Arabidopsis thaliana: one gene and its partner. The protein of the gene in region 1 interacts with the protein of each later gene in a biochemical or structural test. Each region holds a gene or a part of one and is shown on either strand. Other genes may lie near its edges.

Region 1 (3,387 bases):
GCATAATCAAAACTATAATTCGCTGGATAATGCAACTCACCTATTTACATTGAAGAAACTACAGTTAACAAGTTTCCAAATTGTCTTGGAGAAACAATGCTACGCATACAAATTGGTGAATAAGAAGGCTTATAAGAGATATAGTGAAACCTGAACAAGAGCTGCACCAGCCAAAGCAGACACCACTCCAATGATATTCATGGCCTGTGAATAGTAAAACTTCACATATGAAGAAAAACAATGCTAGAAGAATAATAAAGCAAATCCATAAACTAATTCTCTTCCACGAACATATATACCTTAAGTAGCAGAAGTAACAAAGTTGGAGCATACAAAAGTACATTCATCTTTACAGAAACAGCTCCACTGTATAAAAAGAAGGGTAAGCAGACTAGTCAATCTAAAGAATCGAGAAGCAAAAGCAGCAATCTAACCTGAAAACAAGCATCCCTAGATGCCATTTACGATAGAGAAAGAGAGCCATTGATGCATGTAGGAGAGTCATGGCAAAACAATCATTAAAGAGACGGAGAACAAAGATTGAATGTATCCTCTTGGATAAACATAGTAGACTTAATGCCCACCATGGCACCTGAAATACGTAAGGATACAAGAAGAGATATCATCACTGAATTCACTAAAATCACTCCCATCATAAACAGACAAATCAAAACCAAAATATTGTTCATTAACATCGTAAATGGACAACGCTTGACAACGTCTACAAATACTTGATGAAAAGAGATAAGAAATAAGTCTTCATTTATACCACATCAGTCTTCACGTAGATGATCAAGACGATCCCCAGATTGACAATGTAGAGAACACCAAAAAGAATCTGCAAAATGTAAGAGAGTAGAATTGAGACAAATGAAGCGATGGATGGATCAAATTCCGCAGCTAATCCAAAGATAGGAGATTCAAAGAGAGGGAATTGCAAGCACCTGAGCAGGGTAGACTTCCCCTCCAGTTAAGTTCTGCACTGCAGAGTAAACATAGAGGAAACCTGCTGGATAAACCAATGGCCCTGTATCGCCTTTCAAGTTCCCATAGTCTCTCTCTCCCCCGAGAAACCCACTAACCTGCCCCAATTAGATAAATTTCACTTAAAGACTACTAGTTTACTTTGAAGAAACCACAGTTGACCATTGACACTTACCTGTGACATGTAAGCATCCCAATCGATCTTCGTGTCTGTTAAAGGCAAATGACGAAATTTGGTTTAAAACCTATGCAAATGCACATTTCGAGGGATACGCAAGCAAAAAAAAAAAGGAGGTAAATAGCTCTCACATGGAACATAGGCGATAATAAGTGCGACTAGGATTGCATCAGCAAGAATTAGCGCGAATGCGAATGGAACTGCAGGTTTTTTGAATAGATCGGATCGATTCGTCTCCTTCCCCAGCCGACGGCTACGAGAAGCTCTCAAACTCGCCGGTGATGAGGCGCCCGCCATGAAAACAGAGCAAATCGCATCAGCGTCTAGCCAACGCCGCGTAACAGACAACTACTTCCATATTACTACTCTTCTAATTAGCCCAAATTAAATGAGCCTATTGGGCTTCTTGTCTTAGTCGGTGTAGAGCCCAATTGTTGTTTTATTTTTTAATAATGCAAAAGTATTAAGCGATAAATAAATAAGCATCGCAATCGTCCCAAAACTGTGTGTATGCATCAGACATGAGCATATAGAGTAAGCACGTGTCCACACTTTTTCACAAAGTTATCTAAAAACAAAAAACAATTAATTAGCATTCGACGTGTACATATCACTCGCCACGTGTACAAGAGCCTTGGCCTTTTTGCTTCTTCTTCTTGTCTATTAATATCATCTCCTGATTATACTCTCTTTTGACCAAGCTGCTTCTTCTCCATCTATCCAACATCTCAAATCTCAGTAATCTTGTTCCTTCGATTCTGTTTTGGACGTTTGTAATGGATTCTCAGGACATCAGATACCGCGGCGGAGACGACAGAGACGCTGCAACGACGGCTATGGCCGAGACAGAGAGGAAAAGCGCTGACGACAACAAAGGAAAACGCGATCAAAAGAGGGCGATGGCGAAACGTGGTCTCAAGTCTCTGACGGTAGCGGTTGCGGCTCCTGTGCTCGTGACGCTCTTCGCTACGTATTTCCTCGGCACAAGCGACGGATACGGGAATCGAGCTAAGTCCTCGTCGTGGATCCCACCTCTGTGGCTCCTACACACAACGTGTCTCGCTTCTAGTGGTCTGATGGGTTTGGCTGCGTGGCTTGTATGGGTTGACGGTGGCTTCCACAAGAAGCCCAATGCTCTGTATCTTTACTTAGCTCAGTTTTTGCTCTGTTTGGTTTGGGATCCGGTTACGTTCCGCGTCGGGTCGGGAGTAGCGGGGCTTGCGGTGTGGTTGGGTCAATCGGCTGCGTTATTCGGATGCTACAAGGCCTTTAATGAGATAAGTCCGGTCGCTGGTAATCTGGTAAAGCCGTGTTTGGCTTGGGCTGCCTTTGTAGCCGCTGTTAATGTAAAGCTTGCAGTCGCGTGAGATCTGTAAACGCTATACGATGATGTTTGTAGAGTCTGAGTCATATGAGTGTTTCTTGTTGTTTTTGTTTTTTGTGATATATACCATAAAAGATGTCTTTGCGATCCAATGGTCTGGTCATTGTGGAGTAATAGACATGAACATGATATACTTGAGAAATAATGTGATATTGTAGAAGTTTTAAGCGTTGGTCTGAAATCAAACTGTGAGATTCTTAAAAGGCGATCGTTTTACTTTTATGTCGCCGAAACGGAACAAATTCAAACGGTAAAGCCAACTATACTTTGATCAGTTTTGGGTTGGGCCGTTGACACTGTTTTGTGGGCTTCTCAGTCAGTGGTAAACCTAAAATTAATATAGGAACTCGAGGATTAGGGCCCAATCCATTTTAACACGTGATGATATCATGTAAGGTTTGGAGGGAATATACAAAAAGTGGATGAATGATAGCGAACGAGAGGTCCTTGTGCTTTTTTGATTTACCCTCGAGACTCGTGCCGACGGAGTGGCCGTGGCTTTCGTGCAACAGTCTCGACCCATACCTCGACACGTGTTGAAAACGGTCCATTAAGAGTAAGACATCTGTCAATAGGACAGCTGTCCTAGAGGTCACTCGTCTCTCACAATCCAATCCCTTTCGCTTAAATTAAAACTAAAATGGAGCATGGCAGCAACATGCCACGTGGCTCACCAGTTTCAAATCTGAGCCGTCCGGTGTGATATAAGTCTTTTTAAAGAGAGAGAGAGCGGTTCGTTTGTCTGCAACGGCACCAAGTCTTTGACAATGGCTGAAGATGAAATAGTAGTCGAAGAAGAGCAATCACAGCCACAGGAGATTACTCCAGTTCCACCATCTTC
Region 2 (3,687 bases), on another chromosome or scaffold:
ACCATAAAAGACTTGTGCAACATAGAATTGCAAATTATAAAGACTCAAAGAAGGAAAGCAAAATAAAGCGACTCACAAGAAAGAAAGCAGAAAAGAGAATTAGAGGTCGGGAGAGGTGCAGCAGAGAGTACCCTGAGTGAGAGCTCGGCTGCTTCTGGAAGTTGTGCTTAAGCATGACGTCAACCGCGCAGCCGCCACCGTGCTGTGTAGCGGTAACAGAGACTGAACACAACCAAGCTCCGACGGACACCTATAATGTAATCACACAAATTCATCAAAATGAGATCAAAGAAATGGCCAAAGTGAAGCAGATACATGGAATTAAACACTAAACATATGAAGCAGACCTGGAGAAGGAGAATCGGGGAAGAGGAGAAGCAGCTGGTTTAGACGGAATACGAAATCCGGCGGATGAAGCAGCAGCCGGAGAAGATCCAGTGCCAATGGGAGAATTTCGAAATGAAGATCTAATGGCGGATTTGAAAGACGAGACAGAGGATCTGCTCATGAATCTAGAAGCCATTGTAAGAGCTAGAAAATGAAGCCGGAAAAAGTGAGATCGATCTTCTTCTTCCACAGAGTTTTTATAGGGTTTTAGAACGGACGGAGGAAAGATGATGAGGAAGCCGGAAAATAAATATCTGGTTTTTCTTCTTTTTTGGGTTTAGCAATCTTTCAGATCATTATGGGCTTTAGGCCCATTAACGAAAAAGTTACGCCATCTAAACTCGCTTGATAACGAAGAATAACACCCACAAACCTTCACGAGGGACAAGAATGATAGGGTGGACGGGTCCGTGGGTGAAACTCACGACGGATGAAGCTTCCCGAGGGAATCCAGGAGCAGCCGCTGCTAGAGGAGCACTATAGGATGACCAAAGCAATTTTTTCAAATCTTTCTGCATGCATTATCATATTCTTGAAACCGAGATATTATTTTATTTTATTTTTGAATAAAGTAAAATCAAAATATTACATTTGAGCACGAAATCAATTTACTTAGAGCGAGAATTCGCAAACTGGTCATTATGACTTGCAAAAACGGACGTGAATTCAAGCATTACCTGATCATGTGTAAATGTTAGCAAGGTGTGAGCTGATAACAAAATAAGAAATTGGGATCGTATTACCTTTCCAGGATTATCAACTAAACGTAAGTAATTCTCTTGATTGATGTCTTTTGAGCTGGCTGAATGGTAATGCGGGGAGTGAAGGGTTACCGACCCTAGGCGGACAAAGTTTCTTATCAAATCAGTAGAAGACCTCGGAGTAGCATTTGGATTCAAACACTAGATCTATAAATGAAAAAAAAAAAAAAACTTGAATTACACTAAATCTATATTCGATATAATGTTAGTTTTGTGAAAAGTCATAATCTCATCTAGTTAAAAATTGGCTTTCCTTAAAATATTTCCAATCAACCAACTCCGCACAGGAAAAAAAAAAAGAAACAAAGAAATTGTATTTAACTTATAATCCCCACTAATACTTTAGCACCTTCCTACTTCTCTAATCCAATACGAAATTGAAAATAACAAAGACTAGTAAACATAATAAGGCCATTATCATTATTGGTGTGACACAAACATTAATTTAAAAATGCGGGATATCAAAATGCCAACAGAAGATTCTTATCCTTACATGTTATTAAATCCCACTATAGTTGTCACTACACATCTTTAATATTGCTAACCTTCCATTAATCAAATAAGAGGCGGTTTGGGCGGCATCCAATAATGATCTCCCACGTAATATCAACCCCACCTTTTGTCAATTGCTCTCTTCACTATATATATACAAAGAGCCCATACAAAGCCCAAATAACAGAAAATAGAAAGAAGTAACAAAACCAAAGCAAAAAATGGTGAAGATCGAAGTTGGAAGTGTGGGAGACTCATTCAGTGTATCATCTCTTAAAGCTTACTTGTCTGAGTTCATCGCAACTCTTCTCTTCGTATTCGCAGGCGTTGGCTCTGCTGTTGCGTTTGCCAAACTAACCTCTGATGGAGCCTTGGACCCAGCTGGTCTTGTAGCAATTGCAATTGCTCACGCGTTTGCTCTTTTCGTTGGAGTTTCCATTGCGGCTAACATTTCTGGTGGTCACCTTAACCCAGCCGTGACTCTTGGCCTTGCCATCGGCGGAAACATAACACTCATCACAGGTTTCTTCTATTGGATTGCTCAGTGTCTTGGCTCCATCGTCGCTTGTCTTCTCCTCGTCTTTGTTACTAATGGCAAGGTACGTACTAGTAAATTTAGTTAGAAAATTAAAAAATACATAGGTTTTGTACTTTTGTTAGGTTTGGTTTATATGTTCGTACCGTCATAGGTACGTTAGTATATTAATATATATATGATGACAAAAATATTATAACGTTTCAAAAACTAAACGGTTTAAGGGTATAAAATAATTGACTAATGAGTTGTTTCCCGGTTTGCTGCAGAGCGTACCGACCCACGGGGTCTCAGCCGGTCTAGGAGCGGTCGAAGGTGTCGTCATGGAGATCGTTGTGACCTTTGCATTGGTCTACACCGTTTACGCCACAGCAGCTGATCCAAAGAAAGGATCGCTAGGGACCATCGCTCCAATCGCCATCGGCTTCATAGTTGGTGCCAACATCCTCGCTGCTGGTCCATTCAGTGGTGGCTCCATGAATCCAGCAAGGTCGTTCGGACCAGCTGTTGTCAGTGGTGACTTGTCCCAAATCTGGATCTATTGGGTGGGACCACTTGTGGGTGGTGCACTCGCGGGACTTATCTACGGTGATGTGTTCATCGGTTCTTATGAAGCGGTAGAAACCCGTGAGATCCGAGTGTAATTGACTGGGTTTTGTGATTGCTTGATGGTTGGTTGATGTTTTGTTTGCGTGTGTATGTTTGGTGTCCACTTTCTTGCAAGATTGTATGTAGAGAAAAGAAAAAAAGTTATGTCCTGTTAATAAGAAAATGTATATACATTTCACTTCATCTCCTTTTTTTTAACGTATAGCATGTTTGGTTTCTTTCATATGTTTTTGTATTCTATGGCATTTTACTTTCATAAAGTTATCGACATAATTAAAACGTACTTAACGATCGGATTCAAACTACTTATCTTCTCTTAGATTTTTGTTGTTCTTGTGATTTGTGATTGTGAATGGTCCATTGAAATATCTAAATCCCAAATACAAATGGATTCCAGTTTCCACACCAATTTTACATCAAAGATGTGAAAATTTGCCGAATGATATGAGCAAGTCAAATTTTATTGATTTGAGATTCATGAGAAGTTACTAATAGACTATATAATTGATGAAATTGTATGGTTCGGTTAAGTATAAACCGGTATGAACCGGGTCTCTCTAGTATATAAAGAGAGTCTCAATGTAACAAACTTTCTTAAGATGAATAACAGAAACTTCTTCTTCTTCGTTCGATTCTTTGATTCTCTCTAGTTCTATTATGGTATCAGAGCGCTGGAATTCGAAGTTCTCAGCCGATTCAACACCTAACTCTCTTCACATCTTCGAGTTCTTGTTCATCTGAGCTCGTCGATCTTCTGTTTTTCGATTGTTTCTTCATAAATCAGTTAAATCAAGCTCAGATTTCGCGATGGTTTCCGTTGAAAAGTTACGGCGTCGCACGAGGAAATCAAGCAAGATCTCAGCTGAGAAGACTCCAGATCGTACTCAATCTTCACCGATTCCA

What was found. Proteins that work in one complex are often made in the same cells at the same time.
Region 2: the proteins of TSPO (region 1) and TIP2;3 form a complex in vitro, tested with the Arabidopsis thaliana proteins (one study listed by BioGRID).

What each region holds. Positions count from the first base shown.
Region 1 is NC_003071.7:19,566,763-19,570,149, forward strand, and holds TSPO (TSPO(outer membrane tryptophan-rich sensory protein)-like protein), read left to right. Parts: upstream 1-1,701; 5' UTR 1,702-1,938; coding exon 1,939-2,529; 3' UTR 2,530-2,745; downstream 2,746-3,387. Other genes in the region: ALG3 (asparagine-linked glycosylation 3), read right to left, coding at 151-204, 300-366, 435-592, 770-838, 945-1,082, 1,160-1,194, 1,294-1,459; AT2G47780 (Rubber elongation factor protein (REF)), read left to right, coding at 3,314-3,387. UniProt on the Arabidopsis thaliana protein: Stress-induced membrane protein that can bind heme and may play a role in the transport of tetrapyrrole intermediates during salt stress and contribute to the detoxification of highly reactive porphyrins in the cytoplasm.
Region 2 is NC_003076.8:19,247,641-19,251,327, reverse strand, and holds TIP2;3 (tonoplast intrinsic protein 2;3), read left to right. Parts: upstream 1-1,705; 5' UTR 1,706-1,861; coding exon 1,862-2,239; intron 2,240-2,444; coding exon 2,445-2,819; 3' UTR 2,820-3,079; downstream 3,080-3,687. Other genes in the region: AT5G47455 (uncharacterized protein), read right to left, coding at 132-250, 348-523. UniProt on the Arabidopsis thaliana protein: Transports methylammonium or ammonium in yeast cells, preferentially at high medium pH. May participate in vacuolar compartmentation and detoxification of ammonium.